Drosophila melanogaster: one gene and its partners. The gene in region 1 interacts genetically with each later gene. Each region holds a gene or a part of one and is shown in the gene's direction. Other genes may lie near its edges. The genes, in order: flw, NiPp1, zip and Tm1.

What was found.
Region 2: of flw (region 1) and NiPp1, changing one suppresses a phenotype caused by changing the other (phenotypic suppression), as found in Drosophila melanogaster (2 studies listed by BioGRID).
Region 3: of flw (region 1) and zip, changing one suppresses a phenotype caused by changing the other (phenotypic suppression), as found in Drosophila melanogaster (2 studies listed by BioGRID).
Region 4: of flw (region 1) and Tm1, changing one suppresses a phenotype caused by changing the other (phenotypic suppression), as found in Drosophila melanogaster (one study listed by BioGRID).

Annotation. Positions count from the first base shown.
Region 1 is NC_004354.4:10,384,021-10,388,980, forward strand, and holds the start of flw (flapwing), read left to right. Parts: upstream 1-1,939; 5' UTR 1,940-2,491; coding exon 2,492-2,543; intron 2,544-4,422; coding exon 4,423-4,815; intron 4,816-4,960. Other genes in the region: Psf3 (partner of Sld five 3), read right to left, coding at 266-406, 468-862, 931-1,033. UniProt on the Drosophila melanogaster protein: Required for cell adhesion in non-muscle tissues and in maintenance of muscle attachment. Vital for larval development.
Region 2 is NT_033778.4:17,003,063-17,006,924, reverse strand, and holds NiPp1 (nuclear inhibitor of protein phosphatase 1), read left to right. Parts: upstream 1-1,775; 5' UTR 1,776-1,866; coding exon 1,867-1,895; intron 1,896-1,957; coding exon 1,958-2,172; intron 2,173-2,227; coding exon 2,228-2,442; intron 2,443-2,503; coding exon 2,504-3,074; intron 3,075-3,134; coding exon 3,135-3,256; 3' UTR 3,257-3,362; downstream 3,363-3,862. Other genes in the region: CG6805 (uncharacterized protein), read right to left, coding at 1-136, 418-1,164; AsnRS-m (Asparaginyl-tRNA synthetase, mitochondrial), read right to left, coding at 3,387-3,862.
Region 3 is NT_033778.4:25,008,406-25,013,230, reverse strand, and holds the start of zip (zipper), read left to right. Parts: upstream 1-1,767; 5' UTR 1,768-1,889; coding exon 1,890-1,919; intron 1,920-2,022; exon of another isoform or gene 2,023-2,131; intron 2,132-2,614; coding exon 2,615-2,851; intron 2,852-4,825. UniProt on the Drosophila melanogaster protein: Nonmuscle myosin appears to be responsible for cellularization. Required for morphogenesis and cytokinesis. Necessary for auditory transduction: plays a role in Johnston's organ organization by acting in scolopidial apical attachment.
Region 4 is NT_033777.3:15,279,831-15,284,557, forward strand, and holds the start of Tm1 (tropomyosin 1), read left to right. Parts: upstream 1-1,719; 5' UTR 1,720-1,773; exon of another isoform or gene 1,774-2,027; intron 2,028-4,727. UniProt on the Drosophila melanogaster protein: Tropomyosin, in association with the troponin complex, plays a central role in the calcium dependent regulation of muscle contraction.

The DNA of each region.
Region 1 (4,960 bases):
CAAGTCAATGAAAAACGCAGAACGGCAGCTCCTATGTGTTTTGTTTAAGACCGGTCCCGGATTGGATGCTTAGTTATGCGTAGATGTATGCGAAACCCATGTATTTTGAACTGTACAAATGGATTTAGCCGTGTGCATAGAGTAGATGAAAAGTGTATTTTTGAGAGGTCAGGCTGCCCTATGGCCACCGAACGAATGGACGAAATAAAGTTGCTACAGTTCCACAGTACATCAGTGGTCTGTTTTTGTTGTTTTACTCTGCTTGTTACAAGGTGGCCCGCTTGCTGTTGGGCAGAGCATCGCCCTCGTCATCGCTGCGATCCGCACGTCGCCGCTTCTTTTGGTGCTCCTCGACCAGCTCCGAGGTGCGAATCTTGTTGCCCGTCATCTGCAGCCATTCGATGTACTGAAATTATGTGATTAATATAACACTCCGTGCCCACTTGACTGGTAGTACAGCCACCCACCTGACTGTTGGTGCGCACTCCAGCCTCGTGCAGCTTGGCCTCGATGTTATCCAGTCGATGCTCCGCCTTGGCTGCCTGTCCGTCGCTCTTCGAGATGTCCAGGAGATGACGTACCCTCTGGCGCAGCGTTTCGAAGATGATGCGGCCGATGACATGGTTGCGATCGTAGGGCGTCAGATAGCGACCGAACTCGTAGAAGTACGGGTGCAGGCGTCCCAGCTCGATGTGCGTGGTCTCCGCCTCGCAGACGGCCTTATGCACATTGCGATAGATATCTGGCACGGCGACGGTGAAGTAGGCATTGTTTACCTTCAGCTCCTTGATGTACCACAACGGCAGATTGACCGTCCTGCCGGGCTCCAGGTCATCCGATTCCGCGCCGGAGTCCAGGAATCCTGCAAGCAACTCAATATTGTCGGATTACTGGCCAGAATGTGCGTGTCCGTCCAAGCCAATCACTTACCCATCCGCTGCAGCTTGGTGTTCACCCGACATTCCACCTTCTCCTGGGTCACGAATATGTCCTCGATGGAGTAATAGTTCGGAAAATAGTTCATTCCGTTCATTGCGCGGCCCAGCTTTATGATTCGTTTGGTGTTTACTTTAGGTAAATTCAATTTCTTAAGTGCGCGACCTATCGCCTATCGATATTAGATGCATTTTGCCGGGGTCTATCGAGGCAGAAACAGCTGTTTGCCTGGATGCCGAGGCACTCGATAGGTTTTATGTACTATATATATCGAAGCATTTATATGTATTATATGTAAATAGTTTTTCCGGAAAATTACTCTTATTTCAGCGCGAATTTTAAATTGCAGCCTGCACTTGACATTTTTTTATACATAAAATTACTAGTCAGGGTATAATTACTCAAAGTTGTAAATGATGTGGAACATGTGAACTCAGCTTAGTAATAGTAATTCGATACGATTGCAATTAGATGGTTACTTCTTCCGCAAGTTCTTAGGCTTATCTGCATCTTTCAAAAACAAATAAAAATAAAGGTTTCGTTCCCGGCAATGACTATTTTGACTTCAATTTCGAACAATTGATCTTAATCTAGCCGTATGATCATCAAGTCGTCGATAAAGTCGCCCATATTAAAAATCATCAATCCACTTGAGATCAAAAATAGCAAAGCCGCGTGCTTCGAGTTTTTCTTGTTGGCGACGAGGAACGGACAGATGGTCGAAAGAGCCATTTCGATTTAGCTATGTGTGTGCAAGGATTAGAGAAATGTGTGTGTAGTTAATATCAGTTAATAACGAAATCATAGGGAGCACACAACTTGTTCGGTCGAGATTTGAGTTCACAGTAAGAAGTTTGAAGGCACGAGCGTTGAAGTGCGAAAAAGGACTTTGACAGTTAACTCCCGCGTTGCTGAGCACTGGCTGGCTTCGTTGCCCATCGGACTATCGATAAAGTCGAACTGTAAAGCCGCCGCCACCAAAAACTTTTTCAGCCTTCCGGCAAACGGTCATACTCAGCTAGCTGTCCGACGAGTTTTGTTATTGGCGGAGAAAAGATTACGCTGGTTTATAAATTCTCAGTTAAGCCGATTTCTCAGCTCCTCTCCCCCTGCAGAGATCTAACACATCTATATAGATATATATATTTTATATATTCCTTGATCGATTTGCGATCCCGAAAGTCGATCAGCCGTGCGTCTATATATTTTTTTTTCTGTTCTTGCCCCTCGTGCAACATCAGTGAACATCAGCGGCCCACCGTACAAAATCTCAATAAGAAAAAAAGAGAGCATAAAGTGAAATTGCCTTTTGCGGCAAGTAAGAAAACGACCAAAAAAGAGAAAAGAATATAACGACTATTTGAATTAAACAAAGTTTATTGTTTACAATAGCATACAATACAAGTTTATAAGCTAACGGGCGTCGCTGTGCGTGTGTGTGTGCTTGTGTGTGCGTGCGTGTAGTTGTTGCGCCAAAAATTCCAATCGGAATTCTGGAACAGCTGGCCACAACAACAAAACGCGGCCAATAGAAGAACAATTTAGCTGCTGAAAAATGGGCGACTTCGATCTGAATGTGGACAGCTTGATACAGCGGCTGCTGGAGAGTAAGTAGATGCGAAATTTCCCCCTCTTTCAATCCTACTTTCCCAAAACCTCCCCCCCAAACCCTCTACGCCCCTCCCACGCCACTGTCCCCATTTTAATTTATTACACAGTTTATCTGCGTGTGTGTGTGTGTGCGATTGCATTTTCTAATTATTGCACATTGTTCGCTTAAATGGTAGTAGGTTTTCTTTTTGTTGTTGCGACAGCCCCTCTCTCTACCGCCGCCGCCGCCACCGCTGCTGCCGCTGCAACCGTTTGAATTTGACTCTTGAATCAATTAGTTTTAATTGATTTTCATTGCTCCTCTTGAAAAACAGCAAAAACCATAAAAACAACAACAACAACAGCGACAGCATCTACGCTACGCTCATTAGCGTTTACATAATACTAACAGTGATCGCGCTGTTAAGCACGCCATCTCTGTCCTGCGCTAATGTCTCCCAAATGATTTTTGGTTTATTAGCTGTGTTTTTTCTTGTTTCGCCTATATTGGCAATGACGTCATCGAGCTGATAAACACGGGCGTGATTCAAACAGAATGTGTAGCTATGAAATCGCCGACGAAGGAATGGAACGGAATCACATGAGTTACTCGATAAGGAGCTTTGTCGCAAGTAACCCCACTGCCCGTTGGAGTGGGATCGCTGTTCGTGTCACGCAACTATCGCTAAAGACGGTTGAGAAATCTACGACCGATATATCCTATATTTCCTAGCCCCCAAGAAGATATTTTTATCCAGCGATCAATATCAATATAATTTTTACTGGGTATCGACCGCTATAGCCGATATCCACTGTATGTGGCTTAGAATGGGTGGTGGGGGCTGTGTCATCGTCGTCATCATGCAACCTTCCTGCAAAGCGTAAAAGCGCTAAATAGTTTACATTTTTGCAACCTCTTCTAGGTTTCGAATGCGATATGCCTTTGCCCTGGTGAAAACCCAACATCTGCGAGGGTTGCTTAAGCCGCTTAGTGCTTGTCTCGTTTTGCAAGTGTCAGCCAATGTCGAAGATACGGCATGGGACGGGATGGGCTTTTCCGCTTTTCCGGGGGGCGGGCCGCCGCCACCATTTGGCTTTAGCTCTGACCGACGCCACGGGGAAATTGCATTTGAACATTGCGATTTTCGGTTTTTGTCCATTTCCGCAATGAGTTTCGCTTTTCTTCCTCCGATTCTGTCTTTCGGTTTCACTTATTTCTTGCGCTGATATGACACGACCCAACTACAGTGGTCATTCGACGGAAGAACACAGCGGAAAAGGAAAACGGAGAAGAATCTTTTCAGATATCGGTTATGTTTCTACGTTATGAAGTATGTAAATATATCATAGAAAGTATATTTCCTTACTTACCGTGTTAGCTACCGAGTGATCACTGTAAACCACTCTCAGCTGCCAAAGCAGATGGGCGATGGGCAAAAGGGGCAGATTGAGCGAGATGGTCGAGGTAGGCCACAACCATTTGTCAAGGTCATCGAGTGGGCTAGGTCATGGCACTACGCCCACCACCCCATCCCCCGAAAAATGCCATTAATTTTGATCTATGAAGCGTCGTCAGCCTCTGTCACCGGCAGCAAAAAAAAAAAAAGAAAATAAAATGGCAAAAGCAGCGGCGGCGGCAGATAAATTTCATTTGTCAAATTGCAAATTGAAATTGAATTTTTAGGGCACTTAGCCGGGCTGTCGTGTTTTCTGGCTCTCGCTTTTCCGAGAAATATGGAAATTTCGCCCTCCTTTTGTGTTCTTTTATGCTTTTTTCCCGCAAGCCCACTCCACCTATCCCACACCCCTTAGTTTTAATAGATCTCTCTCTCTATATATATATATATATGTGTACGTATATATGAATATATATGTATATGTGCATCCATTCGAAAGACTTTAAAAAACAAAAAGAGGCCGAAGAGCACGCCCAGAAGCTGCTAATCGCTCAACAATTGGCCGCCGCCGGCGGAGCATCCGGCGCATCTGCCACATCGCCCACATCCAGCAGCAATTACTCGTCGATGGCGGCGGTGGCCTCCTTTGGATCCGGATACGGATCGGGATCTGGTGCTGGTGCTCCTGGTGCCGGCGCTGGCCCAGGATCCAGCCATGATCCGCTCGACGATCTCACCGAACAGCAGCGCCGTCTGCTCCAGCAATACTCGATATCGCCGCCCAGCGAGACGATGATATCGGCCGATGGCGACCAGATCACCGTCCATCATCCGCGCGAGGAGCCCAAGAAATCCAGATTGAAACTGCGCGATTTTTTCGTCGCCGAGTTTGGTATTACCACTTTCAATCTAAGAACAACCTCCCCTATTGATCACTTTGTCGATGTTTGATGATCATCCATAAGTCCAGTGCAAAAGTAAAAGCCATACTGCAGTGGTCACCATGACCATGAGACTTCATACTCTAAGTAGCGTGC
Region 2 (3,862 bases), on another chromosome or scaffold:
CCATGTGGGACTGATAAGACAGCTGGTTGGCACTCAGGGTAATGCCCGGATAAATGTTGCTCTGCACGCGATGCAAAATCCGATCGCACCAGGCGGGTCGCCGCTTCAAGTTGTAGTCATTAGTGCCTTCCACGAACTGCAAGGAAAATCAAATGAACTTTATATGGGTGCTAGAGATAAGGCGAATTAATTACATTCGACATATTGCCTCATAAATTAGTTGGATTTTGCTTTTCTCATGAAATCTGTGGAGCCGAATGAAGTGATTGATTGATGAAGTGATTGGCGGAAATTAAAAATTCAAGTGCAGATAAAATTAATTACACCCACCCCTATATACATTATTTAGATTAAGATTAGAAAGTTCAAGGCAAACTTTGACTGTAGAGATAATAAGATTGTATATTAGATTGTTACCTTAAAAGTGGGCGCAAAGTTGGGCTGCTGCTCCTCCAGCAAGCTGAAGGCGTTTCCCTTCTCCCGGAGCAGATTCAACTGGTCGAGCTTGAGCAGATCAGCGTATCGCTGGTTCTCCACATCCGTGCGGACATCCCAAGCGGACATATCGCCGGAGAGACGGAAGTTAAGATCGCCAAACCAAAAGACAAAGTCGTGATCGAATATCCGGCGATATCCCTGCGCATTGTACTTGTGATTGTCCACGATTTGGTGATAGTCTTCGATGCGCTCCTTCAGCTTCTCATCGTGCGCCGCCAGATGGGAGCAGACGAATGCGACGCCAGTTCCGTAGAGCGAAAGTCGAATGCTTACGGCACCCTTGTTGCCCCACAGCCCTCCAAGTCCCGTGCGCGTGGCTTCTGTCTCGATTTCTTTCATGTGCGGGATGTGCTTGTGCTGTGCGAACATGGTTATAAGAATTCCCTGCAGCTGCTTCGAGTCCACCTTTACGAACTGGTGATCGCTCAGAGAGTCCGCGATCTTCAGCACCCACGGATCGTCATTGAAGATTTTTAGCACCTGCGGTGTGGTGCTCACCTCCTGGAATCCGATTACATAGATATCGGGCAGCTGGTTATCCGGACAAGTGGTGGTGCCATTAAGGGACAAAAGGGAGCTCAGATCCTGATTTCGCGGCGTATGGGTGCCCACGTTCCAGGTCAAAAGGAAGATGCACAGATCCGCAATCGCCGTGGCCGTAACCATTTTTCCGCCGTCTAATTATCTATGATTAATACTTGTTGTTTTGGACGTCACAAGGTGGCTGTTGATGAGTTCATGGGCATCCAAAACAGGTTTACGGATTTGGCAGCATCAGCAAATAAAGCGAAAGGCGTTTTGCACACGCAACTTTCATTTATGTAACCGTTAATTCTTCAGCACTAATTTTTTAAGCCGCTTTAATTGGACTAGGAAGCGCTAGTTGCCCGTATTATTTATAGAATACTCAGATGTCGTTATTTATGTTTATTTGTCCGTCCGTTGCGTGAGCTTAGTGTGACCGCAGCACAACTATTTAAATATACCTTAGGCGGCGGCAAAAATTTTATGGTATCTCGATAGTAACGGAGCTCTGAAGCTCATCGAAAACATCGGCTAACATGAGCTTCTCATCTAATTTAGATTTTTATTTGAAACACATTAGATATTATAAAAGCCAAAAATCAATTTAAGAAATATAAAGATATAAGATTAAAAGTTGTACTGTGCGTAAGTTCCTTTAAAATAATAATACTCTTATTTCATTGTTTTTTTTTTTACGCGAGAATGCCCCTTTGCATTTGCTTGTGCTAAACCGATATTATCGGCAACTAGTCAATTGTGTGTACACACTGGCTAAGGATTTTTCATAAAAATAAACACTTTGTATAAACTTACCTTCCGAACTATTTTACTTAAGTTAAAAGTATGGCTAACAGCTACGACATACCCAGTTGGTGCGTTGTCAAATTCAGCCGCTGCCTTGCCACAAAATCACGTAGCATTTTATTTATTTTAGGGCTGGAAAACCGCCCACTGGCTTACATCTGGATGTGCTAAAGGACGACAAACTAGTACAAAAACTGATGGTGGATGAAAAAAGATGCTATCTATTTGGTCGCAACAGTCAAATGAACGACTTCTGCATAGACCATGCCTCTTGTTCGCGGGTCCACTCGGCGTTTGTCTACCACAAGCACCTCAACATAGCCTACCTCGTGGATCTGGGGTCCAGTAGGTACTAAGATATCTGGGATTCGGAGTAAGCTTATCCATTTACTTTTGACAGCTCATGGCACCTTTATTGGAACACTCAGATTGGAAGCGCACAAGCCCACACAGCTGCAGATTAATAGCACCTTCCACTTTGGGGCTTCTACCCGGAACTACATACTCAGGGAACGACCCTCTGGCCACCACAGCAACATCATGGAAGACCTGCCGCTCAGTGAAACCAGCGATGGAGCTCTCCTGGGCCTACCCGAAAGCCAAACGGAGCTTGATGTGCGTTTGGTTGAAAAGAAAAGCTAAATACTATGTAAACTAACCTTCCATTATCCTGCAGAATCTCACAGAATACAACACAGCCCACAATCGGCGCATCTCAATGCTGGGCATCGATGATGATACCAATATGCGAAAGCAAAACGCCTTGAAACAGGGACGGCGCACTCGAAATGTCACATTTAACGATGAGGAGATTGTCATCAATCCTGAGGATGTGGATCCTAATGTGGGACGCTTCAGGAACTTGGTACAAACCACTGTGGTGCCCGCCAAGAGGGCTCGCTGCGACGTCAATCATATGGGCATCCATTCGGGCAACAGCAGTTTGTCCAGTGCCAATGCCGCACATGTACACCAAATGTTCCAGCAGAGCCTAGTTGACATGAAGCAGCAGCATAGGGAAATGCCTCCGCCCAATGCGGTGCTCCACTCGCCTACTAATTCCCTATATCAAGGTCTACCGGCCGAAATGCATGGCAAGGGTGACCTAGAGCCCATCTCCCCGCTGAGCATTGGTTCCAAGTTGGGCCTATTGCTCCCGAATCCTGCGCCTGAAGTGCTGCCAGTCTATGACGAAGCTGTGGAGACCTCGACATTGGCTCAAAAGTTGGCCGTCGCTAATGCAAACGGTAATAGTTCTCGCGACTATTTGTTTAAAAACTTACTGATTGTTTATAACACCATTTTAGTTCGTCGCTTTGGTGAGGATCCGCATGACTCGAGTGGCGAAGGCGATTCGCTGTGCCCACAGAAAAAGAAATACGCCAAGGAAGCATGGCCAGGTCGCAAGCCCATGTTGGGGCAGCTGTAATTGCGTATTAACAAAATAATTAAGATTCCACCTACGATTTTCTCAAGCATATGATTGACAACACACTCTGGAGTAATATTTGTTTATTAGACTTTTAACGTAAAACAAAACATTTAATATCTTTATCTGATCACATCTTGCAGCTGTGTGGATACCTGGGGAAGGGTATCACATCACGAATGTTTTTAACGCCCGTGACAAGCTGCAAGTAACGCTCAAAGCCCATTCCAAATCCTCCAGTTGGAACTCCTCCATACTTTCGCAAGTCAACGTACCATTCCAGATCCTTCGGCAGATGCGGATGGGATTTTAATATAGCAGGATCGCTTTCACGCAGGCTCCCGCCGCATAATTCTCCAACAGCTGGCATCAGTAGGTCTAGGGCATGAACTCGATTGGGATTTGAACGCGAGACTTTCATGTAAAAAGGTTTCTGCTGAGCTGGCCAATCCACAACGAATACGGGAGCACCACAATGGGCCACTAAAAAAAGTTCTTGGTCCTTGGAGAATCCTTCGTTCAGGCTAATAGGAGTCTTAAGACTGTCCTTGTTTTCCTGCAGTACTTGCAGGGCTTCATCGTAGCTCATTATCTTCCACGGTACTT
Region 3 (4,825 bases), on another chromosome or scaffold:
CCCGGAAGCACTTACAGCTCTGCCGAGTCGTAAATGCAAAGTTCCACGGCCCCCATTTACTCAACGACGTATGCTTATTAGGTCGAACGTGCCCTGTCACGGGACTCCGGGCCAGGAAAGCCGTCTGCGGCATGGTTTCCGGACGGGCCCCATCCGATTCCAGCCCAGTAATAAAGGCCTTTGATTATGTTGCCCCGGGATCCCTTGGGAACGGGCAAACCTTGTTGTCTACCGCTTGTCTGGTCTTTCATAATTTACAGCCTCCCAAAAAAGCGGAATGGAAGCACCGACGCAGTTCTCTGTCCTTTGAAGATTTTGCAAGTTTAATTTATGTGGGTTTGTTTTTTCTTTTCTACTAGCAGTCTCAGCGCACATTAAAAATTCATTATCAGCATAAAGCTGGAAGGTTTCGGGAAGATGGGGTGGCTCAGCTTACCACGACAATTTTGTGGAAAACCAGGAACTACACGTGCAATTATTATCGCTGTCTGACCCAGTTGCTTCAAGGAGAAACGATGGCTTACCTGAATCGATAATTCCTGGCTGCACGTTAGTTTGTCATCCAATGAATCCTATTCGGAGTCCCTCACTTAGGATTCTGGAAACGAGAAACCATAGACAAAACGTGAGAGTTTTGCGGAACTAGTCGCGACTTCTTCTTATCCTTAACAAAGCACTCGCGACAACAACAATCGATTCTGTTCGTTTGCAGTTATTTCTTCCGCAAATGCAAATTGAATTCGCTATTGCGCTCTAATTTCGGCACATACACACGCATACGCACTCTCGCCACACATACACACGAACACAGAGAAACTGGTCAGCAGGCGAATGACGTCATTGCCAAGGATGCTGCGCGCATCTCAAGAACGCTGCCAGAAGTAGCACTTCATTTAAGGAACTGTGTTCTTGCTCTTAGTTGGAATCACTCAAGTCCGTTTCCCCAGAATTAAAAGTTCGCAAGGAGCCCGCCAGATATTTTATTAAAGTCAATTTAATTGCGACTGGCGCCAAGCACTCACATCTGGCTGTGATACTCGGAACTGGACTTACTGATTCAAGCGCGGACCTTCACCGTTCCTCGAAAAATTCAAAATTAACTGAAAGTATCCGCACATCCGCGCATTAACCCAACGGTTTATTGAAGTTTGGTTTTACCAAGAACTGATTCGAAGAGAGGACAGCACGCGAGACCCCGCAAAACACCAAAAACAAAAAGGCGGTAAGGTATTTTGATGTTGTCGTGCGGTCCAACTAAATGAACTACGTATATGTCAAAAGTAAAATCGACATATACGATACTTAGCTTGCACTAATTTGACCAATATTATAAATTGAAAAGTGAGTTGGAAACATCCTTTGCTACATCTGAATATGCAAGTGAGTGAAATCGGCAAAATAATTTAATCTCATTTCTATTCCGGAAGTATTCGATTCCAATCGACACCGCTTGGCTTGAAGCCGCGAATATTTCGATCTTAAGTGCAGTCATGAACCAGAGGAAGCTGATGCGATACTTTGCTAAAAACTTAGATATTCTGTTATAGAGGAATACAATGGCCGACCTGAAAAAATGTTACAGGTGTGTGCTTTAAACAAAATCTAGATGCGATCCATATGTAGAATTTTAATCAGTGTTGACATATCGATGTATGTGTTTTCAGAAAGCGCTGCCGCGGCCGTCGTGTGAACTACGACATATCGATGCATCGATATGTCCGAATGGAATCGGAAGGCATCGATTACCATCGAACTCGAAAAGTACTCGGTCGGCAAAACGGCAAGCGGCGAAAAACAGTGAAAAAAAAAGGGGGAAAGCGAAAAGACGTGCTCAGGAACTGCGGTCGAAGTCTTTGTGAGTGTGTGTGGGTGCAGCTGTCGCCAAACAAATGAAAAGCGCCTGGCTTGCATTAAAATCGGTAAAAAAAAAATCGGAAATGTGCACAGGCATCCAGCGAATGCAGCGACCTATTCGCCGGCGTCGGGACGCCGCCAGCTGAAACTGCACGGTCGAATTTGGCTGCATTTGCACAAACGCTGTGCTGACGCGGGGAAATGGGAGCATAAAAACCGAAACTTGTGTGCGAAATATGCGAATATGCGAAACCTTGGCTCCCAGTGCGATCTATGTGTGTGTGTGTGTGAGCCGTGCTGTGTGTCGGTGTTGCAGAACGAACCAAGTGGGAAGCAAAGCGAGAGAAGACGAAGAGGAAGAAAAAGAGCCGCTTGTACCTGCTCCGAAAACTGAAACATCCGAAATCGGAGGTGAAAAGGTGCTCTGATAGTGTTTAGCTGCAGTTTTAGGAGATGCAAACTGGTTAATTGCTACGTAACGCTATTTTTCCGCTAAATTACTTCACCACCCCTTCTTCTACGTTCAGCGGTGACTTTGGCTTAAGAAAATGAAAATGTGTGGCCATATTTTTTCCTCTCCGTCTTTCTTTCGCCTTCGCGCTCTCCCTTTTGAAACTCTCGCCGCGCGCTGTTCTCGCCGCCTCCGTTTTGTGCCGCACTTCCGAGATAAAGAACGCAAACGCGAGATAAATGCGAAATATTGTATCTGAGGAGCGAGGCAACATACTCATTGTTCTCATCGATTTGTTTTGTCCGACAGAAAAGTGCATTGCATCCGAAAAGCGAATATCCAGTATCCAATATCCATTATCCGAAAGCAGCTAATTACCGACAGACAAGGAATTATTTAGAGATCGCCGCCAAAATGTCGGAGGAAGTAGATCGCAACGATCCGGAGCTCAAGTACCTCTCGGTGGAGCGCAACCAGTTCAACGATCCGGCCACGCAGGCCGAGTGGACACAGAAGCGTCTGGTGTGGGTGCCACACGAGAACCAGGTGAGTCTACTTAAATGTAATGCCTACCCGTAGAGCATGTTCCTACTCTGGACGCAACCTCTGCTACGGGATTTCTACCCCGGAAGCCACGCCCGTTTCAGTGAACTACCTGAATAGACCCTATAGATAGCCTAAATGCAACAGGAACTGCTACAACTGAGATAAAAATACAGTCGATACATCATAACGCTGTTTATTTCGTGAAGTCGGTAGTCATTAGCCCATTATGGTTTTTTTTTTTTTTTTTGTAAAATTACCAAATGTACTTAATTTTCGTTTAATTTTCATATTCTTTTGCGTAAAAAATTGCTACATGTAACTATCTAATATCTAAGTATTACTTCGCAGTGAATGGTTATTATAGAACATAGTGTGTTCGACACATCGTGATAATATTTTAGCCCTAGCTGTACGTGCTCTAATCAATTTTCACAGTGTTTGTCCCCGGCTTTGCGCTTCTTATCAGCCAACACCTTTTGAGCCATCCGACTCACTCATCGATTGGTCATGAATCACGCTTCACCGATCCGTTTATTTTTAATTTTGAACAGGCCCAACTTCTTTGAATTTTCATTACATTCGCACCGCGGTGATAAACTTGGGTAAACATCCGTTGGCGTCGATGCTGAATCACTCTTTTCTCCTGCGCTGATGCTGAATTAATCTCACCGTAGTAGTGTGACACATTTAACTTCTTACTTGGTCAAATCCGCGACCATTTGGTACCAATTTGCATGCAGACGCTCTTCGACTCAGTGACTCACCTCCGAGGGAGAGTGGAAGCAGGAATGGCCCCAGTTCGCAGTTCCCACTAAGAGCGGGCCAAAACAAGTTTTCAATGTGGCTAGGTATTTGTGGTGTGGACTTGCTTGTGTGGGGCTTTCTGGCCTCAACCACACAGCCAGGCCAGCAAAGAAACGAGCCGAGATTGCGCCAAAGAATCGCTTCCCTCGGAGTTCGGGCGCCCGCTCTTGGCCTATAAATTCAAATTCAAAACTTTGGTCGACTGCTAGCGATCAAGCCTTATGATAACAAGCCGATTGTTTTGCTAATTTCGGTGTGGCTTGTTATTCTCTTCTTCAGTTTAAAGCGATTTCATTCAGGTGTCATTCAACTGCATTCCAACGACTTAATTTCAAGACCATAAAAAACGTAAACAGATAAAATTATCAACCGCTCCTTTCTCCCCTGGCTGCCCGTAATTGCTGTATTTGCCAGAGATAATTCCGTACATAGAATGGTAGCACTTTTGGGTGACTTCGTATAATAAAAGCAACATCGAAAACAAAAGCCAACAACTTCACATTTTTGTGTAATTACGCGATCACTTTAACAGACATTTACTTTACAATGGAATCTCACAAAAAGACAACGGCAGAGATAAAACCCAGAAATAAAACGAAAATAACGAAACGCTCGATTGTCATGAGTGGTCCGTCAGATTGTCTAAAGGCTAAAATTTCTTTGCGACTGACGAACGGCACATGAGACGGGTGGAAATAGTTAAGAAATTTGCATATAGCGCAACTGTTGCTCCGCTGGAATGTCCACAGATACAGCTACGTCTTAACGGGAACGGACCCGTCCAAAAGGGTATTCGCCAATTGTGTCAACACTCGTTTCGTTTCCAGCAACTGTTCCAGCTTTTCGAAATGTAAGCGAATTCGCTGAATAATGGCGGCGTCAGTCCACGTACGTGATATCCAAATTCAGTAATTTACTGGTGGATACACAAGGAGACCTTTTGTTCGTGGCTACATTTCGTTTCATGTTGTTTGCTGAACAGCGATGATTCATCGAATCAATTGCACAGAGAGCAAGTTTATTGGTGGGGATTAGATATATTGTACATTGAAGGTTTCGGGTTATAGGTTAATGTATATTTGCGATCTTGAAACTATTTAAATGCTTTTAATAGTTCATAGCTTACTTTTCCATTGTCCAACGATGAAATTGAAAAGTTAATACTTTGGA
Region 4 (4,727 bases), on another chromosome or scaffold:
TCGTATTTAGCAAGTTGCTCAGACTGTTTTGCTATTTTACAATGTTTTTCGACGTTTTCTCAAGGGTCTTTTCCATGTCTATGTCTTCTTTGTTTTTTTTTTTCTTTGTCTTTATAAATATATTGATCTAGTTTTCTTGCTTCGAAAACTTTTTGTTTTTAATGAATACAATTACGTCATTTTGTGGGTGTTGTTTGAGTTAATTTTAAAATTTTCATCAACCTCGGACTGGCAAATGTTCTCCAAGATAAGAGAACAACAAAAAATGGAATAAGTAAATACATATATGTATATATGTTGGGGCTATCAAATTGGCTTATATTTATAGGTTTATATTTAAAGACTTTAGTTGCATTCGAACATATAAGATCTCCAACAATTTTGTTGGCGATAAGATTAAAAGGGCGTGATCAACGAGTAAGCAAGCAATCTAGAAGGGCAAATATGCATATCACCAGATCGGAAACTCAACGATTATGGGGAAACTGAATTTCAACCGTTTTCACGTTTGCAATTTAAAAAAGCATGAATCATGGATGCATTTTCTTGCGAGACAGTTACAAAAAAACGTATACTTTCATATGTGACATTTATGATTGCCAGCAAAATGTTTTCCGTTCGCAGACATGACGTTGAAAAATCTATAGAAAGAGCTTTAATATATAGAGCAGAAAATAATAATCTGTAGACCTATGGGGGAAATACGTACGTATAACTACGTGAAACAAGATTTTTTGGCATATCAATAACTGAAAATTAAAAATAGAAGTTGAGAACATCAAAAAGCAAAACAAAACGATCCCCAAACCAATACACTCTCATCGGGAAAAGAGACACGATTGCCTAAGTATTGGATATATTTTGCAATGGGCAAAAACACTGGGTGAAAAGAGCTTTTCAAAATACGGGGAAATATTCAAAAATAGGCTGAAAGAAAGGCATTCGATTCGAAATGAGTGAGCATTACCCATACATGTGCAGCGAACAGGTGAAAGCACCAAGGAAAGGATCGGAAAAGAGAGGCAGAGAGAAAGCGGAGAGAGAGCGCAGGCGCCGGGCTTGAATGTGTGTGTATAAATTGTAACTGTATTTGAAATTCTGATCTTATGCTTTCCGTTACACTGGCAGAAATCGGATAGGAACATAAATTAAATATATTACGGGCTGAGGGGTAAAGAAATGTTGTACAGCTTTCTTAACTGGCATAGCCCATTTCACTTTGGAGTATTTTCTGAATGAAAAAAACATTTAATATAATTTATAAATGAATTTCAAAATTCAAATTTGTAATAACAAAAGTAGCATGAGTAAATGATGATAAATGATAAGTGCGACATAAATTTATAAATACATTAAATCAAAAGTGCATATTAAATGTCCTGATATTAGAAAGCATGCATGATTACATTAAATATGAGTATATAAATAAGAACAAATGCACCCCTTTGTTGATTTCGCGCAGTGTATAAGCTATTGTACCCCGGCCGAGCAATTTACCGATGCTCTTGGGGTAAATTGAGAGCCAAGTGCAGTTCCAAAGTAGGCGCAGACAGCAACAACATATGCTCGCTTTTGGCCGAAAAGTGCGCACTCTCGCACACAGATACTCACGCACACAGGCGCACTAGCGCGGCGGCTCACACGCACACACACCAGCGCAAGCCGCTCGAAATCGACCAAGCGGCGAGCATCGAACGTCAACATATTGAATAAATATTTTCAGTTGAACATCACAATCCGTTCAAGTCGCGGATAACTCCGAATAAAAGTTTTGTAAGTAAAAAGGAATACGTTATCGTTGATCAGTAAAAAATTATACAAAAAAAAATACAAAGATATCGCTGAATATTTCCACAAAAATACTTGTCGAGTGCTTCAAAAATAATTTTAACTGTGCTAGAATTCGATTCTTATTTAAAAAAAAGGATCGAACCAAAAAGTATAATTACATAACCACAACGTTGCTGCAATATCTAACTTAAAATCCACCAAAGTGCTGTGCAATTCTCAACCCTAATCATCCGCAAGTATTGAAAAAAATTGAAAATTTTCCCAGTTAGAATCGAAATAAACCCAAATAGAGGTTAAGCACCTTTGCAGATCGCGAAAAAAAAACTAAGAATAACGATTCTGGGGACCTTGTCAAGTTTGTCTGCTAACCGCAAGTTGCTATATAGGGTTTCAGCTAAACGTATTTCATGAGATATATAAACATGGTCAGTGGGAACTTCGAACGATCTTAGATTTTAGCGGCAGAAGTAAAGAATTAAGGCAAAAGGAGGATTATCGAGCTCTCTTTCCTCCTTTCAGAAACTAAAATTGTCATGTTGTATATGAGAAAGTAAGGGAATCATTCTTAAGATAAAGATCAATGAGATAGACTTCAAGATAGCTATCCTTGCTATGGAATGGTTTCCTGAATTATAATTTTCTTTAATCCAAAATGTTTAGGAATTCATTGAGCCTATTTTCCAAGTAACTGGGCAACACGCGCATTTACTTTGCAGTTTTGTATCTTTGAAATCTGATCCACGACCGCTGGCCCTAGCTGCCAAATGAATCTGAAGCGAACGTAGGCGAAATGCGCCAAGAATTTCCCAGAAAGCTCCCTTCCTCTCAGCTTAGTATTAAGTAATATCCGTGGAGAGGCTAGATATTCAACAGATGCCTCGGCTGTCCTATTTTTAGATACAATCCGTGTGTGCTACAGATACTAAACAGTGAAATAGAGAGCAGGAAAGCTGCTAGAGTATCGCCCAAGGCATTTGGCTAAAGAATCTATATGCATTAGACCCATTTGAACCAACGTGTGTATATATCGTACTCTAAGAATAGAAAATTCTGTATTCTGTATGATTAAATTCCGAATTTTCCATGCGATAATTTGTAAATTTTGTGTGGAAAGGTAGATCTTATAAGGTCGGATACAGATGGAAAATATCTGTAACTTGTAAACTAGGCAGAAAAGTAGGAATTGCGAGGTGCCAGTTCATAAGGATGGCTTGTTAGTTGGCCATAGTTAGTTAGATATAAAAAATGAGTTATACATATACGCATTTTGTTTCCTGAAATATTAACTTTGTTCCTAATGATAACGTCATTTCTTGATAAGGATGATCTTAATACTCATAAACCTCTTTGGTGTAGGCCCATTTTTCGATTATATATATGTCATTGCCGAAAGTTATAAGATGTCATGGGAATTTTGTGCTGAATCAACGCAAACATAACTCAATGTGTCACCTTAATCGACTTATGGCCCATACACATGCAGATTTATATATATATATATATGTATATCTGTGTGTTTTTTAAGCGAACAAAAAATTTGCCTCGATTGCGTTTTCATTAAAATTCAACGTTTTTTTTTTTTGGCTTTGGCTTTATTCGATTGGCGCTTTTTTCTCCAATGCCACTTCTCTTCGGCGGATCAGGCACAGGAATGTAAACAGAGTTTTTAAAAATAAATGCATGTTTAAGGCAGAACCACACAACAAATGACAGCGATGAGCCGTAATAAAGAATTAAAATTTCACGCGGCGAAATTCGAGTCAATTAGCCGCCGGCTGCACTCGGTTCGAGCCATGACAAATGTTGGTCAAGTGGGTTTCGTGTTGGCCAGGAAAGGCAAAGGGGGTGTCAATGGGCACCAAGGAGGGGCCAAAAAACCCACCAGCTGCGTTCACATTGAGTCAGAAGTCTGGAGCTGCTCGAGAAAAGGGGCAATAGCCCAGTGCAGCTGAGTGATTCATCTTGGGTTTTTAATTCGAGGATGGTAGCTACAGCATCTGCACTTTACTGATAAGAATGCAATTCCAAGATAAAGCGCACATTTGTAAATATAAATTGATTTGAGTAAACATATATGGCACCTAAGAGTATGCAATGATATATGTTAGTTAAAAAAATATATTAAATGAGCTTACTATCATTTCAAATCCTCATTCTACTTTCGAAGATTTAGAAGACTTTATCTATGCAGCAATTTCTTGGCCCAGATTGGAATCTACTGACACAATTTTGGCTGGTGACAGAACTCTCTATTCGAGAATGTACCCAGTTCGTCCAGCTTCGTTTGGCTCCACACCACGCGATCCGATGTGATCTGCATAAATAAACACCCTGCTTTCGGTGTTTCGAAGTATATCCCAGAAAATAAGGTTCAATTTTAGGTATTCTCGTTTAAATGATTTACTGTGACGAGATGAGAAAACACTCTCAAAGTTCAGAACATCAGCGAAAGAATCGGACAATAAAAGTCGTGAAGAGACGCCGTCGAAATATTAAATTCTCAATTTATCAGTTGGCTAAGCTCGAACAATGCGACTGACTGGCATCGAAAAGGGGGCCTTGGTTGTTTCGGTTTTGGCCAGGCCGAATAATTTATTGACTCTGCCACCTTTCGTCCAAAAATGGCTATCCATTATTGCAAAAAACTCGCTGTGTAGCTTGAAATGGAAGAAAGATCTGCCAGTTATTTTGATAACATGCAGATAAGATGGGAGCTTTAAAGTTATGAATTTAAATACATATATGTGCAGAAATCAGATTGCAGGATCCTCATGTAAATACACAAGTTATAAAATTGCTAAATTAATCATAAAATGCAAATGCATTTTCCATATAGTTTCACTTTCGCACAAGCCATGTTTGGACTTGAATACTACTCCCCTTGCACTTGCTGATTATCGCATAAATCTGCTAATTGCTTTATTGGCTTGCACTTA